Linked DNA regions of Arabidopsis thaliana. The protein of the gene in region 3 interacts with the protein of the main gene of each other region in a pairwise test. Each region holds a gene or a part of one and is shown on either strand. Other genes may lie near its edges.

Region 1 (5,482 bases), on a different chromosome or scaffold from region 3:
TAACAAATATCAACTATATTTCGAAGTTAGTGATACTTTTCCCATAAATAGTATACACTGACTTTTTTCGTAAAACATGTTAAATATATACATTCAATCATATATATATTTATCATACTAACAGAAGAAATCTACATTATTGTAAAGGACTGGGAGAAATAATTTTCTAAGAACAAGAGCAACACATATTTCTTTATGATGAAATGAAATCACTCGTAAAGAAACGGGAGTAGCTTTGAAGTCATTTATCACTTGTACGTCAAACAGAAGATTAGAAGGTGAATCACTGCATTTTATGGTTTGGTTTATGATAAAGACGGTTTTTTAATTTTTAAACCGCTATGTTTTTTGTTGGTTGGTTTCGAAGCCAAAAATATATCAGAGTGGTGGTCAAAAACCTCTAATTTTGAAGATATAATAATTGGTTTATGTCAAAAAGAGATATAATAATTGGTCTTGCATGTTGGTATGGTCAACTTTGTGACTAAAAAAAAGAAAGAGCCTAAAACGAGAAAATGGAATGAGTTGGCCAACAAGAGAGGCTACAAAAGAGTCACGAGACATGCAATCATCCGGATTTGAAGCCAGCCCATGTTTTTACTGACAAGCAAACACATTGCAGTAAAGTCGAGTTATCATAATTTATGATAAACATAAAGTAAATTATGAGTAGTATTTTTTTTCTTTCAAAAAGAAGCAAAACTCTCTTACAACTTAATGATTTGTAAAAGGACGAGACATTATCATTAAATCTTGAAACTAAAAAACTATGAGTGCCTTGAAAATCTGAGAATCACTGTTTTTCTTTTGAATTTCATTTCTATGTACATATGGTGAAATCTCAATTCTCCAATTTTCTTTTAGTATTGTTTTTATACTTTCACAAATAGGATTTAATTTACTTAGAATTGACTCTATTTTTTTCTTGTTTTTACTATCTATGTTCGCTTTCCAGAATTTTATACGTTATTCAAAGAAAATACTTGACCAAATACATGTAATAACATATTGGTTATCTAGAAACAAAAGACGAGTACAAGATACAAAAAAAAAAAACAAAGGGGACAAAGAATGGTGTGGAGAAAAAAGTTTGAAGAAGAAAGAAAAAAAAGTGAGGAAATTGTGATGATAATGGTAGGGGTGGTGGGGAACATATCTCTTCTTTATCAGTTTCCCTTTTTTTTTTTCTCTCTCAAAAATCATGTTTGGAGTTTCTTTTGGTTCAAGCTAAATCTTTTTCTCTTCTTCTTTCTAATAGTATCTATTTGTTTCTTCAAACCAAACGATATCTACGCAATACATGTCGGTTATTGTGATAACGACATTGTTTGGATGTTTCGGGTTCAAAAGATTTGTATGAATGTGTATACTATATATGTTTTTGGCTCAATGATAAAGACACTTGATAAGAGATTCAGGATCGTTTCAAATTATTTTAAAAAACTATATATAATATGAAAAACACTTTAATACTTAAGAATACTATTTGTAATCCGTAAAACTTTAAGTTCTAAAACCATTAATTAAAAATAAGAAACAAGTTACGTTGTACATATAAACTAAAAGACGGAATGGAATATGATTTGATTGTAAAAATAACTTTGGACAAAATCTTCCAATTATAAAAGAGAGAACAAAGAGTTCTAATCATATTGATTGGTAGGTCATGAAGAAGCTTAAGGAGTGATTGTAGAAGAGTGGAAGTGGAGGCGACAAAGTGAGGAGACACGTGGAAAAAGGCACGTGACGTGGGGAACGTGAAATGTTGTCGATAGTGTTTACTGTCTCGTGCTTGCAAAACTATATGTATGTTTTGGAGTGTGAGAATTGTGACGTATCCTCAGTCCTTAGTCCATAGGCGAAGCATCTCTCATTAGCTCCTCTCTTTAAGGTTACGCATTCATTACTCATGCTTCCCTTCTCTCATTTTCTTTCTTTTTCTATATTCCCCTCTATTTGTTTCTTCGCTTCTAATTTATTACATGTAACGTACAAAACCAAGAAGCATGCACTTTTTTCTGGTGACCAAAGTTTAATATATCAACCGAATTGACTATACCACATACATGTTTCTATCTAAATCCAATGAATATTACACAAATAGAATCTTGGTGTGCCAACCAAAGAGAAGCATTTATTAAAGTCACTATTTTGAATACTAACGACGGATAAGACTAAGATCACCAATATGATGTGTTTTGGTCTCTGCCATGAAAAGATACAGAAATTCTGATTAAGATTTGTGGGAGATTAGCACCACTTGATTCACTTTGATTGCTACACATAAAAGGTTGGTAAATTGGTTTAGTATTGGAAAAATATAGTAGTGGTTGGACTTGACTATAGATGCTTCATGATAAGATAAATTAAAAGGAACAATCAAATTAGTAGAGGAGTGTAATTACTAACAGCGACGTGGATTAAAATCATGGAAAGCTCAAACTCTTGTCATGCTTAGATACAATGGAGTCCACGTAGACTATTTTCAATATTTTTTGTCATAATTAAAGAACATTATTAGAGAGTTAATGACGTACATGAGACGTGTTTAGCAGTTGATATTCAATTTAAAAAACATTTTGACATACTTTAATGCTAAAACAAAAACATTTTTTTTGCTTAAAGTGTCTCGCGGTTATAAAAAAAACCTTAATTATGGAAGTGTTGTTTGTCGAACCCACGAATGCATCAATGCGCGTCACGATAGTCTCATGCATTGAACTTGATTTTACTAAGACGGATAATGAAGTAAACTATGTATTGTACATTGGTCTACATTTATTTAAGAAAACATGTTCTTATCCGGTTTAGAACTATCTTGTCTACGTTCATATGATTCCTTAAATCTAAGCCTAAACTTTTTAAACTAAATCAGTCACAGTTTCTTATTCATTTATAGTGTTTTAACAAAATAATTCAGTTAATTCTAAAATCCAACCCTAATTATTTTATAAGAAATCAAACAATCTTTTTTCTTTTTTTTTTTGTTAAACGAAAGGTAGTACTAGGAGTCGAGTATATTTACATTGAAACAAACAAAATTTAATTAGAACACACCCAGCAAAAAAATCCGAGCACAAAGTCAAAACCAACACTTTGACCAAGTGTCTGCATGACACGTGTATTTGTCTGCTACATGGACAACATCTTTAACAACACTGTCTCATCATTCCACCATTTTCTTTAATTAAAAAAAAAACATATCAGAAAGACCATTCCAATATTATTACTTCTTCCTTTTAAGCTCTAACAATTAAATAAAAATTTCCATTCTCTATATATAATACACACACGTTCAAATCATTAATCACCTGTTTTAGATAAAATCATAGAGAGAGAGAAATAGTAAAAGAAATAAAAAAAAATGGGAAGAGGGAGAAGCTCATCGTCTTCATCGATAGAGAGCAGCTGCAAAAGCAACCCATTTGGTGTGTCTTCGAGTAATACTCGGAACCTAAGCACGGACCTGAGACTCGGGCTCAGCTTCGGATCATCTTCCGGACAATATTACAACGGTGGAGATAACCATGAATATGATGGAGTCGGTGCGGCAGAGGAAATGATGATCATGGAAGAAGAAGAGCAAAACGAGTGTAATAGTGTCGGAAGCTTCTACGTGAAAGTGAACATGGAAGGAGTTCCTATTGGGAGAAAGATCGATCTTTTATCTCTTAATGGATATCATGATTTGATCACAACTCTCGACTACATGTTCAATGCTTCAATCCTTTGTAAGTATCTACACACACTTAATTACATCTTTGCATGTAGACTTAGTTAATATTTATATTTGTTATACCTCTCTTTGCATGTATATAGTTAAGACCAAAACTAATGGCAATAAAAAAATTGTGAAAATAGGGGCTGAAGAAGAAGATATGTGTAGTGAGAAGAGTCACGTGCTAACGTACGCAGACAAAGAAGGTGACTGGATGATGGTTGGAGATGTTCCTTGGGAGTAAGTTCTTTTTTAATTTTAGTGTATTAAAAATCTCTAGTTAAGTATTTTTTTTGACATAATTATGTAAAAATTCCCTTTAATTAATGGGGACTTAATTGATTATGTAGGATGTTCTTGTCTAGCGTGAGAAGACTAAAGATCTCAAGAGCTTATCACTACTGATTTTCTAAAAGCAAACTTGGAAGAATCTAGGATTGACCAATACAGTCAGTGGTGGTGGGGGAAAAAGTTAGTTTTGTCTGAATGTAAATCACTTGTTCGAGATTTTATTCAAATTTTGTTTCTAGTTTTATTACATTTATAAAAAAATCGGTTGTAACTTGTAATGAAGCTATTTTTTTCAAGAAAAAAAGCTGTAGCTAATGCAGATCCTTTTTGGTTTAGTAGTTATTTTTATGGTTTTAGACATAGATTAGATAATACTAGAAATATGAATTGTTTTGGAACACTGCTGAATTAGGTTCATATTCGTATTCTAGTTTTCACAAAGTTTCAGTTGAGTTACTAGTTTAACCAAATCAAGATCTATTTCATATTTTCATACTATCATTTACTTCTCAATTCAACTATTTTACCGGAATAAACAGTGAAATATAGTTGTTCTAGTTATGGAATCTGAAATTGAAAAATAATTGTCAAAAAATTTCAACAGACTCTGTCGGAGATATTACAATTGTTCCGCTCACCAAAAGCATTAAAGCCCATACAAGGAAAACAAAAACAAAAACTCTTAAGCCACTCTGATTATTTTCCTCACTGCACACAAATTTACACGAAAACAACAAAAGATGAAAGAAAGCATCATTTTTCAAAATCGAAGAGGTTTCTTCAGAATCAAGCAAACTGTGTTTCCCCTTTGATGTTCAAAACTTCACAGTAACTTACCAAGAAAGTAACCATGGTGATCTACTTAAACCACTTGATATCTCCATATTATTTTCCGATAACCCGAAACAATCAGATCCATGTTCCGGGAATATACTCTCTTTCAAAGAATCACAAGTAATTTCCGGCGAAACCCACTGTGAATAACCTCTCACATTCGAGCATTCCCATGGTGATTTCTTCGAATTCTTCTTCACTCTAAGAGTAACATTAAGGAAACATATATTCTTAAACACATCTCCTTCTATACCTTCAAGAAGACCCGCAACACCTATTCCATCGCCATTTACATTCTCAAAGGTGATTTTCTCTATAGCTGGGAGTGCTTTGGGATCGTATTTCTCATCAGGATGTTCACCGTACTTACCGGTGAACCTAATCGCTTTCTTTACATTATCGAGCTTCACGTTCAAGATGTGAACGTTTCTAACATACCCGCCTCTTCCAGCAGAAGTCTTGATTCTGATTCCAGTATTCGAATTGAACAAATGTAAGTCTTTAATGTATATTTCGGATACACCTCCCGACATTTCACTTCCTATTGCTATTCCTGAGCTTGAAGTAGTTTGACCTGTTAACCGATTAATCTTGATCTTGGAGCTCGGTCTTGCGTAGGATATTCCATACTCATCCCAT
Region 2 (6,822 bases), 6.7 Mb from region 3:
ATGCATCAGTCAACTCTATTCACTTGTTCCCCAAAAACACAGAACACATTGTTGTGTGCAACAAGACATCATCTATATACATTATGACACTCCAAGGACAGGTAAATTTCCAGCAACGGTCTCCTGCAAATCAGTGTCATTGTCATGCCAAAACTAAGATTGTTCACATGCTTCTATATTGGAATCCTTTTGCAGGTTGTGAAGAGTTTCTCATCCGGTAATAGGGAAGGAGGAGATTTTGTAGCAGCATGTGTATCTACAAAAGGAGATTGGATATACTGCATCGGCGAAGACAAGTAACACTCTAACCTCCTATATCTATCGTTTTATTTTTGGATAAGTTCCACGAGTTTGATTTCAAAGGATAATCTTATGGTTCCTTTCTTTTCGGGTTTCATCTTCTGCCTTTGATGTTCGTAATGGTGTTTGCACCTACAGGAAACTGTACTGCTTCAACTATCAATCTGGTGGACTTGAGCATTTCATGATGGTAAGTTTATATCCGTAACAGACATGCTCCAAAAGATTTTGGATGTTGGAAATTTGAAAGTTGCATTTGAGACAAACACATAACAGTAACTCACTAGAGTAATGAAGTCCCTTGTGTGTTATAATGTTTGATTCATCTGTTCTCCATTTTAGAGCTCAGATTATCATCCTCTCTCTCTCTCTCTTAATACTTATCTTAGTTGTCTTTTATTAGACCTGGTTTCTGAATAGTTTATGCTTATGACAGGTGCATGAGAAGGATGTGATTGGTATAACACACCACCCGCATAGAAACCTCCTTGCTACCTATAGTGAAGATTGCACTATGAAGTTATGGAAGCCCTGAGTTTTCTCATCATCAAGTCTTGTTTTCTGTATGATTAGTCTGTCTTTATTTGATTTGCACTCTTCTCGGGTTAGAACTAGTGTAATGTGAAACCATCTTTGCAAAGATCTCAGCCATTTTGGGAACACTACCCACAGACTCTAAAACCAGCATTTCAGATTTTAAGACCGTTTCACCTGGCCTTGAGCCTTGTAGTAGTTTATTTAACAACGTGTCTCCTTCCTCTTTGACCTTCCCAGCCAGTCAACTCCCATATACTTTTTAGTCTTAGGAAAGAATAAAGTCAAGCTCAAAAATATATAAAAAAAAATGAAAACTTGGGAAGTTCAAAAGAAACAAATAATGATTCTCTTAACTTGATGAATTACTCACAGGTAAATTTACAAATGATGATACGCTAACTGCTTTCCCTAGAGACCATTACAACGGGCAAAGCAGTTCTTCTGGCAACTTATTCAAAAGGAAAATTGTTTCTCTTAACAAATCTAAGAAAATATTATAAGAAAAAAAGAGGAAGAATATAAGATCAGAAGAAATGAAGAAGAGAAAGTAACTGTACTAGCCAGACTATTGCCATGTCCTTTTGAACCTACAAAAATAACAGTAAAACAAAATACATCAAATCTATAAACTAAGATCAAATATATGAGATGGTGTTGTGTAATAAAAAAAAAACTTACTATGTAATCTCCCAAAAAAAATGGCAAGACACTAAGCTCCAAACCATGAGAAATCATCACCAAAACCACCATAGTCAAAGTCCAAGTCAGTCAATGGAGACAGAATGCCACTCTGATACTGAGGCAACTCACTCCCTGTTACACCGTCTTCATTTCCGAGTAAACCAAGGGGTTGAAGTACTCCTCCTGGGGCCTCCTCGAACCCACTGTTGTGAGGTGGTGCTTGTGTATTCATTTCTATCTGTGTATGGAGAATGTCGTCTTCCTGGTTATGTACAAACACTGCAGAGGGATTGTAGAAGTTGTACCCTGACCCAAATTGAAGCTCTTGGTTAGGGTTTGGTCCATAAAGCATTGGCCTTTCGTCTACAGGCATCATAGTTTGTTCATTAACAAGTGGAAGATAAGTATAGTTGTTATTGAACTCAGGAACCACTAGTTCCAGACCATTATCCTCTGGTCCTAAGGCAATATTTGGGTCGACAACATCGTCCTCTTGATGAGTACCGTTGATGTTATATTCTAGCAGAGGGGCATCAACATGATTCATATCAGGTAAGATGTTTCTTTGTTGAGCTTCAGGTTGTTCTTCCTCTTGTCGATTGACAGTTCCGGATCTAATTCGAGGTCTTTTCCTTCTGCGATGTTTCTCTGCTTTATCTTGATCTCTTACTGAATGTGAGATGGCTGTTGGTTGTTCTTTTTGAATCTGATTTCTTCTACTGTCTTTAGATGAAACTGAACCTGAAGCTTCCTCTGTCCCATCAACATCATAGTCACTGTCACTGTTGACCACAGGTTTCCTCCTGTCAGCGTTATTACCCCTACGATGTGTCTCAGTCACATTGGAGTTTCCATTGTCACTGCTAGGCTGCTGAATCAAAGATTCCTCTTGGTTCAAAACCGCCAACCAAATCGCACTCTCTTTAGCTGTCATCTTGTCCTGTAAACATTTCGACTGACGAACATGCCTCTTAATCTTTGCAATATCAGGTAACATATGATTGATCACTGCCGTTAAAACTCCAACCTTCCACATCTTCTTGAGATCATGAGGTTTTCGGTAAGGAGGACTCTGGCTTTTAGGCAGACCGAGTTTCACCCACCATTCTTCATTCCCCGTTGGCCACCAAGGCGGAGGCGTCCCTTTCTCCAACGGATACTTCCTTTGAGGAGGATCACAATGTTGCATCAAAGAAGATAACAAAGACCCTAAAGTAGCATCTTGCAAATCCTGGAGAACAAACTGTGAATTCCTATTCCCATCAGATTTCCCAAACGCTAAACACTCCTCTTCGTATTTAGCAATAGCAGCAGGACCGTTCTTATCAAACTTCACTTTCTCTTTCCACCAAGCTCTTATATTGTCAGAGGAACCACTCACAGGCTTGCCCTTTTCCGGTATTATACCATAGACAAACCCGCGAACTTTGCAGACTTCCATAAGCTTCAACATGTACTTAAGGATACCATCTTGAGCTCTAGACATTTTCTTCCTCTGAGCTTGATCAGAGATTTTCTTAGGTGTCTCCTTCGTTTGAGCTCCTTGAGAGCCAGCTTTTTGTCGCTCTTTGATTCTTTTAAGCCTGACACGATCTTTCCACATCCGTCTCTCAAGGTCGTCAGCATCAATCTCTTCATCACTCACATCAATCTCAGCAACATTATCACTAGCTAAATCATCAGGCTCATTCTCCATCCTATCCACAATAAGCAAACTCTCAAAAATTAACAGCTTTCTAAAGTTTTTGATTTGATAAACAAAACAAAATCCATATATATCATTATCTTATGTTGTCAATACAGAGGAAAACCCAAGTATTCATTGATTCATCAGCTGATTGAGATTGAACTAATGATTCATATAAACCCTAAATTCACAAGCATGAAAGGGAAATTAATGAAATTGAATCAAATGTTCTTCACCTGATGTCTGCTACGGACATAGCAAGATCGCCCATTTAAACAAAATCAATCAAAAACCTTTAACAACGATAATCTGAAGCGCCGAAATTAAAGAAATTTAGGGTTTTTATTCTTTCTCCTGTCGTTCTCAGGGGAAGAAGAGAGTAAAAAATGGCTGCGAATTGTGGAGAGGCAAAGTTTTGATTTAGTCGGACCAAAGCCAAAGTATTGTTGTGGCAATAACCCAACCCCCAAAGGCCAAATTTTTTTTTTTTTTTTTGTTGTTGCAAAAACCAAGTTGTTTTCTTCGGTTTCTGTTTTTTTTTTTCTTTAATGTAAAAAAATATTTTGTTACTTTATATCTGTTGTCGAGTCAATCTCTCTTTCTGTCTCTCGTTTTTTTTTTCTCAACACGGATTTTTATTGGCTCAACAAATAGAATAATAGTATTTATTTTGAGTAATTAGTTACGAGGAATACCAATGAAGTTTATTGTATTTAACTGTCCGGATTAGTAAAAAAAACTCAATTTTGCCATTAACCTATTCTTTTCCCCATAAATTAAAGTCTTTTGGGTTTTAATTTGGCTTTAAATAAAAAGCACATTTTCTTAACTTTTTTGGGTTTAAAATTTGCATAATGCTAAATGCTAACGTATACCACTCAATAGCAAATTGTTGTCCTACATAGTGCTAAATGCTATAACTCAAGCAAACTGTTCATCAAGTCACTTGACTTCTATCAAAACATGATGCATATGGCAGATAGCACATAGGTAAACATAATTAAAATTATTTTGAATAAATTTCTATTCTAAACTTTTAATTAGACACACATTTATATTTTTGTAATGTTTTTTATGTTTATTTTACAAACACACTATTCATTTTGAATGTTTTAATCCAATTATTGTAAGCAATCTCAAAACAAGAATAGTTTCATGCTCATTAAGAGATTAAGAGAAATATAAAGATAAAATTTGATAGCTCATGAATGAGTTTTATTGTCCAAGGAAAGAAAAGAACTTTAGATTGTCACCAAAATTAGTAAGACTTTGATGCAATCATAAAATGGGAAAAAAAGGAGAGTAGCCTCTTTGACAACTCTCTGAGTTAATCACATTAATTCACACTATAAATATAAGAGATTACTTGTTTAGATAACCTAATTACATGGGCTTCTAGACAATGATAAGCCTTTGAACTATAAACCATATGAATTAAACCTTTTTTATGGACCCTCTAATAATTATTACGTTCAACTTTACTCATTTATCCTAGTCATTTTCCACATCCGATCCAACTTAAAAATAATGGTATCATTTTTCTGAACCACCAGTGTATAAAGGAGAAGGAAAAAAAGTTAACTGATGAATTAGAAAGTTGCAGCATCATTGGGACCAGTTTTGCATTTACGGCCAAGAGCTACCCACACGACCACCACTACGATTTTCATGTACTGCTAGTATTGATTTATTAGTAGTTTAATACAGCTCATTTAGTCACTTGTTAAAAAATATTATACTAATCTTAGTATGTTAATCTACACTTAACGTGCCTTCAATACAATAAAAAGAATATAATTGGATACCAAAAATTAGAGAAATGGACCCAGTGGCTATTAACTTCTCACACTGGAGAGAGAGTGACATCAAACTACAAACCAATTTTATTTTATTTTTTTTCCAAAACGGAACTGAAAGTTGTTTGAAAATCCCTCATTGGCTCTTCTTCTACATTTATATTTCTTTTACTATACAATATCTTAGCTCTCTGATACAACTATTAAATGCTTAATATATGAATAATACGTGGTTTAGAGTAACTAACAAACGTAAATAAAATAACAATATTTCTCCCTACTCGTGGCAACATAAGCTGAACAGAGCCAAGTACAAACAAGTTGACTTTCTGCTACAAACTTTGACTATCCCGACAAGAAAAAACCTTAAGATTGATCAGGAAGGATCTCATCGGTTCTTCTATCTTGTCTCTGACCATTCTTCTTCTTCTTCTTCTCAACAACACTTCTGATAATTTAACATTGCATCTCCTACTCATTCTCATCGTCTTCGTCTTCAATCTTCTACACGAATGTCGCAGTGAAATTTTTTGACTCTTTCAGCTTCTTCTCGCCATCTCTAATGGCGATCCCTTCCTTCCTCTCTCCAAATTTACACTTTTACCCTTCTACCAAACTCGTTCCGAGTCGACTCACTCTTTCCTCATCCTCCTTCGTTTGTTGTTTATCAGTAGACCGCCAAATTAACCATTCCTCCGTCTCCAACGAAACCTCCGGCTTACGAGTTGTCATATCCGCCGGAGGCACCGCCGGACACATCTCTTCAGCCTTAGCGATCGGAGACGAGCTAAAATCAGCCGACCCACTTGCTCGAATCCTCTTCATCGGATTCCCAAACAGTATGGAGAGCACGACGGTTCCATCCGCCGGATTCGATTTCTCAACAATCTCCACCGTCGGATCATCATCGTCCCGACCATTCCTCTGTTTCACCTCTTTCCTCAAATTCCCTCTCCGCTTGATCCAATCCACCTTCGAATCCTACAAAATCCTCCGCGAACTAAAACCACAAATCGTCATCGGCACCGGAGGACACGCCTCTTTTCCGGTCTGTTTCGCCGCCGTGATCTCAAGAACTAAATTCGTAATCCAAGAACAAGATTCAATCCCTGGAACCACTAACTGGATTCTGTCTTTCTTCGCCGATACAATCTTCGCTCCTTTCAACTGTACAGTCACTAACCTCCCCAAACGAGTCGCCGCGAAGTGTGTCGTCTACGGGAACCCGATAAGACAAACGCTTAGACGATACTCGTCGAAAGGAGCGGCGCGTGTGAGCTTCTTCGGACAGTGGGCTGGAGCTGTGTCGGAACCGAAAGTTGTGCTTTTGCTTGGTGGGTCTTTAGGAGCCAATGCCATTAACATAGCTTTGCTTAACTGTTACTCGCAGTTGTTGTCTGAACATGAGAACTGGTTCTTTGTTTGGCAAACTGGTGTTGAAGCTTTTGATGAAATGGATAGTCTTGTTAGAAGTCATCCTCGTCTCTTTCTATCTCCGTGAGTTATACAACAACATTTTTAACTGTTTAGCTGCTTTTGTATTGACTAATAACTCAAAATGTGTTTTATTATGTGGTATAAGGTTTTTGAGGTCGATAGGTGTGGCGTATGCGGCTGCAGATTTGGTTATCTCGAGAGCTGGTGCAATGACTTGCTCAGAGATTATGGCTTTAGGCAAACCTTCTATTCTGGTATTTGAAATCTATAAGCTGATTCATCGAATTTGCTAATGGAGTGTGTTGTTTCTTGTTTTAAAACATTGAATGTTCTTTTGTTTTGTTTTTTAAGATACCATCACCGCATAGCGATGAAGGGGATCAA
Region 3 (5,504 bases):
TCGGGTCATCCAAATCTTTTCTTTCGAAAAGCACTTCCTTATTCTGTGATTTGAGTTGAATGTGAGGATGATAACTCTTTATCCTTTTATTCTCATGCTAAATTACCAACTGATTGTTTTAAAGGTTGAAAAATAACAGATTTTCTTAAAAATCACAGTGCATATATCCAGAACGGCATTTAGATTAATCTTAATCTCGAGAATCTAATGACTTTCATTCTCCATTATTCTACTTTTCATAAATTCATAATTACAATAAAGTTGGTGGACGATATTTTACGTACGGACAAAATTATCCATTGTCAAAACACGTGTAGAGTTGAAGTCAGGCACACGTAGAATTGCACAAGTAACACGACGTCGCGAGGAAGAAGTGCTAAACATACAGTGACTCACAAGCTCTTAATTTCCTTTTTGTTTTGTTTACTTTTTAATGTGAATTAAGTCATACAAGTTGACCACTTCAAATAAACAAACTATTTCTATTGTATATATCTAGACGTATGTGATACATATATAATGTGATTGCCAATCATTACAAGTTTTTACTTAGACCCACACATGCTACGTCACGTTTTAAAACTTTACCTTATGTCCAATCTCTTTTATCGATATTTATTTCATATGTATGTATAAGATATTATATATATATATATAGGACCCTAATGTGTTTATAATATATATCCGTATACGTACGTACAAAAGAAGTACGTATGCTGATTTTGATTGGAAGTTGGGAATGGAAGCATGGATATTATTCGTACTTCCACACATTTTATTAGCACTTTAGATTACCTCATATTACATTTAACCTCACTAAAAGGTAAGAGTTACGAGACTCTTGCTTGCCTAACGTATGCTAAAAGGTATTCATGTATTATGTATTCATGTTTTTGTACATCATGCATTAAACCTATATAAAATTGCATACTTACGTATTTATATAAAGTAGATAGCATATGTATTATACGGATGGAATGATCATTAGTTTTTTTGCGCAATCTTACATCAGAGCCTTGTGGCGTGGATTTGAAGTCTAACCATGCCATGCCATATTTTAATTTATGGAAAACACCAATATATAATTTAATCATCACAACTTATAGTCTAAACAACTACAAAATTAATCATCATACATCATGATTTGGATGTACAACTTCGTGTTTAAACTTTTATTTTATTTTTCTCTTTCAAATAAGGAACTTTGCGTTCTGAAGTGGTGTTTTAAAGATAAGTCATTTATGAAGTCATTTATACGTTAGATATAAATATTTTGAAATTTTATGAAGTGGTGTTTTAAAGATAAGTCATTTATGTTCAGTTTAAAACGCAATGTCTATATATACCAGTATTCTCTAATTACTAATAGAAATGTGAACTTTCATTATTCTTTGTATTAAAACTTCATAGCAAAAAAAAGTAAATAATATTCCCTCCACATCAATTTAAGTGATGTTTTAAGGGTATTTTGTTCTTGATTCATTATAAGTGATGTTTTCAATTTGTTAATATCTTAATTTTTTTGGCTAATTATGTTTTACATCATGTTTTTGTTATTGTCTGAAAACTGAACTTAATGATGTTTTTATGTAAAAGAGATAAATTAAATGAATGTCTTGTGTTTTCTTAATTTATGCGTAAAAACCTTAAACATTAGATACAAAGTGATTAAGAAGTAAATAAAAGGAGTAAATAAGAGTAAACTTAGATGATGATGATGATGATGTGGGTTGAGTTTTATAAGAAATACGAAGACGAGTAAATAAGTTAATAGGCTAAAGAAAAGGATTATTGAATTCTCCTTCTGAACTAAATGTCAAATAATAAGTGTCAGGATTAATAAAAAATAAACTGATCTGAATTAATTAGGATTACAGTCTACAGATTTATTCTATTTATTTCTCCAATTGGTGTTACTTTTGTTTGTGGCATGGCCCTTGTGGTCTTTAACACACACGCACACAAACAACCGCTCTAAAGTTTACAATATACTAGATTTCTACTCGCTCATATCAAAATCTAAAGTCGAAAATCTTTTTGTATAAAATATTTAAAACTGAATAATCAAGAAATGTATCAAACTATTTAAATATTTCCGTGATGCTCAAATTAATATACATATTTTTCGTAACTCGTCAATGAATCATGCATAACTTGTTTACACAATTATACTTAATGGACACTATGATCTGTACACGGGCATATGAGTAACAAAAGAAATTTAAGAGATTACTAGTTAAAATCTGCCGTTAACTTCCGTACGTTCCATGCTTTTGGGTCTCTCTCTACGAGTGAAGTGCCTCAAATAAATAAGAGTTTTATTGAATGGAGTGGAAAATCTAATCTCTAACTAATAATTATAAAACATCTTCTGACGTAAAGAGCCGGGTTATATCAATGATATATATATAGGAGCTCCTGATAATAATCAAAAACATAACATTGCATATATAGAGAAAGATATAGTGAAGGTAGCTATAGAGAAGAAAGTAGTGTAATAAGAATGGGGAAAGGAAGAGCACCATGCTGCGACAAGAACAAAGTGAAGAGAGGGCCATGGAGCCCTCAAGAAGATCTCACTCTCATCACTTTTATTCAAAAACATGGCCATCAAAACTGGAGATCTCTTCCCAAGCTTGCTGGTTAGTATTTATTCACATGCATGTTTCGGTAATACTATAAAGTTTTAAATAACTAAGAGAAATAATGATTGATATATATACATAGGATTGTTGAGATGTGGGAAAAGTTGCCGACTAAGATGGATAAACTATCTGAGACCGGACGTGAAGCGAGGCAACTTTAGCAAAAAGGAGGAAGATGCTATCATTCACTACCATCAAACCCTTGGAAACAAGTTTGTACTCTACCTATTCATCTAATTTCTTTATAATAAGACAATATATAGTATGTAGAGACTAATTGATATATGTGATCATCAGGTGGTCAAAGATCGCGTCCTTCTTGCCGGGAAGAACTGACAACGAGATCAAAAACGTGTGGAACACGCATCTCAAGAAACGACTCACTCCATCTTCTTCTTCTTCATCCCTCTCTAGCACTCATGACCAAAGCACAAAAGCAGATCATGACAAGAACTGTGACGGGGCTCAAGAAGAAATACATTCAGGGTTAAATGAGAGCCAAAACTCAGCTACTTCGTCACATCACCAAGGCGAGTGTATGCACACAAAACCAGAGCTTCATGAGGTTAATGGACTCAACGAGATCCAGTTCCTGCTCGACCATGATGACTTTGATGATATAACCTCTGAGTTTCTTCAGGATAACGATATCTTATTTCCGCTAGACTCTCTTCTTCATAACCACCAAACTCACATTTCAACCCAAGAAATGACTCGAGAGGTAACCAAATCGCAATCATTTGATCATCCTCAACCGGATATCCCATGCGGATTTGAAGACACAAACGAAGAATCCGACTTGAGGAGACAGCTGGTTGAATCAACCACACCTAACAATGAGTACGACGAGTGGTTCAACTTCATTGACAACCAAACTTACTTTGATGATTTTAATTTCGTCGGAGAAGTATGTCTATGAATGTCAATAATATATGCATGACCAGTGTTGTATCCACTTTTGAATGTTGAGTAAATTACTATTTTACATGGATTGCCCATGCATTGAGAAGATGCTATGTTTTATGAGAGCTCTATGATATTGGTTCGTTTTTCGGCTAGATTCACACAAACAACTCTTCTCTTTTCCTTCTCGATCACTCTTATGGCTGCTCTCAGAGTCTCCGTTTTCAGAGGCCAAAACAGGTCGCAGGTTGATGGCTGGCAATGGCAGCATCGACTGCTTCCGGTGTGTCGAGATCAGGCGCCACACCAAGCATCAAGTCCTGAAATCGAATTAGGTGTGTGTAAGTTTCTTAGCCTAGATACAAACAACAAGAAATATGACTCCAACTGTACTCATCATTTCAATCACTTGATATTTGCTTCCTGTAAGGGCTTCAATGTCAAAAGCTTCTGAATTATCCTAAGTCCATACATATTTGAGAGACTGAGACGGTCTCAGTGAGACCAAACAGAAGAAGAAAAGAAAAGAAAAAAACAGAACAAATACTACAAAGAATACACAAACTTTTGATTCTTGCTCCAACCGTTTATTAAAGCACATGACCTGTTTGGGATCATCACATATCACACTAGAATCACAAAAACTACAAATTTCACAGCTCCGAGCACGCAATGATTAACAGAAATCCGACAACTACACCAATCTCTTACAGATTAAAACACAAAGAAGAGAGCTTGTGTAAGTTAAACACGTATGGTAAATACATTAGCAGTAAGAAGATACCTTGGCTTCTGAAAAGTGGAGCAATTGTGGACTTCACATAGAGGGATGGAGGAGACTGTTCTGCTCCTTACAGAACAAAACTAGCGACGACTCTGCACATAATTATCGGCATAATTAAACAAAGTCTGGCTCTTTCGAACCCCAAAGAAGAGTGGCGATAGCAAAGATGGATCCTTTGCCTCTGCAACTTCTTTCGATGGTTTCCTTTCCTCTGCTTCCCGTTTCCCTTTACTCTGTTGACAATTAGGGTCAAGTTTTGATCCGGCCCGGGTGATTTACAGCCCACAAGGTCCAATGGGCTTCTTCGAAAATAAGTTTGCGCGACGTTGCAAATGTCACGTGACTTTTGTTCACGCGCACTTCACGTGTTCTTCGTTATTCTTCGAAACCGTCCGATAAAGAAATTTCTGGAATAACACAACATAACCAATGAAAAGCATACAGGTGGAAGTAACGTAAAAACTCCCGCTTTTTCGACACGTGTCAACTAGGCGGAAGATACGCACCACCAGAAACGCTTGATAAAAAGCTAACCCGCCCCAAACCCATTTATCTTAGGGTTTCGCGAGATCTCACTCTCACTGGTATGTCTGTGTTTCTTCTTCCATTTTCTGTTTCTATTGGAAACTTCTCTCTCCAATTTCGTTTTCTTCACTTCTTTGATCCTTTAGCTTTGACAAAACCGTAGTAAAGGATCAAAAGTTATCATCTTTGGTCCATGTTGTGAATCGTGCTCTGCTTGGGTCGTGACTCCCAAATCCGGATTTGAAACCAGCATATCTGAGCTTAATTCGAGCATGCATGCGCTTCTTTTTTTCTGATTTTTTTTAGACTTTGGTTCTAAATCCCTTAACTTTGGATTAACTGTCAATCTACAATTTTATATTAACAGAGATAGCTTAGCAATGGAGCAGTCAGAAGAGGGTCAACAGCAACAGCAACAGGGAGTGATGGATTATGTACCTCCTCATGCTTATCAGAGTGGGCCAGTAAATGCAGCTTCCCATATGGCATTCCAACAAGCTCACCACTTCCACCACCACCATCAGCAGCAACAACAGCAGCAGCTTCAGATGTTCTGGGCTAACCAAATGCAAGAGATCGAGCATACCACTGATTTCAAGAACCACACCCTTCCCCTAGCCCGCATCAAGAAGATCATGAAAGCTGAT

What was found.
Region 1: the proteins of MYB72 (region 3) and IAA30 interact in binary tests that used the Arabidopsis thaliana proteins (3 or more experiments, as listed by UniProt).
Region 2: the proteins of MYB72 (region 3) and EIL3 interact in a two-hybrid assay, tested with the Arabidopsis thaliana proteins (one study listed by BioGRID).

The regions. Positions count from the first base shown.
Region 1 is NC_003074.8:22,992,471-22,997,952, forward strand, and holds IAA30 (indole-3-acetic acid inducible 30), read left to right. Parts: upstream 1-3,215; 5' UTR 3,216-3,364; coding exon 3,365-3,731; intron 3,732-3,861; coding exon 3,862-3,958; coding exon of another isoform or gene 3,959-3,962; exon of another isoform or gene 3,963-4,068; coding exon 4,069-4,123; 3' UTR 4,124-4,339; downstream 4,340-5,482. Other genes in the region: AT3G62110 (Pectin lyase-like superfamily protein), read right to left, coding at 4,843-5,482. UniProt on the Arabidopsis thaliana protein: Aux/IAA proteins are short-lived transcriptional factors that function as repressors of early auxin response genes at low auxin concentrations.
Region 2 is NC_003070.9:27,728,888-27,735,709, forward strand, and holds EIL3 (ETHYLENE-INSENSITIVE3-like 3), read right to left. Parts: upstream 3,797-6,822; 5' UTR 3,477-3,796; coding exon 3,442-3,476; intron 3,387-3,441; exon of another isoform or gene 3,216-3,386; coding exon 1,547-3,215; 3' UTR 1,516-1,546; intron 1,425-1,515; 3' UTR 1,144-1,424; downstream 1-1,143. Other genes in the region: SMU1 (transducin family protein / WD-40 repeat family protein), read left to right, coding at 1-101, 196-296, 439-490, 737-835; AT1G73740 (UDP-Glycosyltransferase superfamily protein), read left to right, coding at 5,564-6,498, 6,584-6,692, 6,790-6,822. UniProt on the Arabidopsis thaliana protein: Probable transcription factor that may be involved in the ethylene response pathway.
Region 3 is NC_003070.9:21,019,881-21,025,384, forward strand, and holds MYB72 (myb domain protein 72), read left to right. Parts: upstream 1-2,503; coding exon 2,504-2,642; intron 2,643-2,727; coding exon 2,728-2,857; intron 2,858-2,878; exon of another isoform or gene 2,879-2,942; coding exon 2,943-3,564; 3' UTR 3,565-3,707; downstream 3,708-5,504. Other genes in the region: NF-YC2 (nuclear factor Y, subunit C2), read left to right, coding at 5,238-5,504. UniProt on the Arabidopsis thaliana protein: Involved in metal ions homeostasis, including iron ions (Fe) acquisition, via the regulation of NAS4 and NAS2 genes expression. Necessary for plant survival in alkaline soil where iron availability is greatly restricted.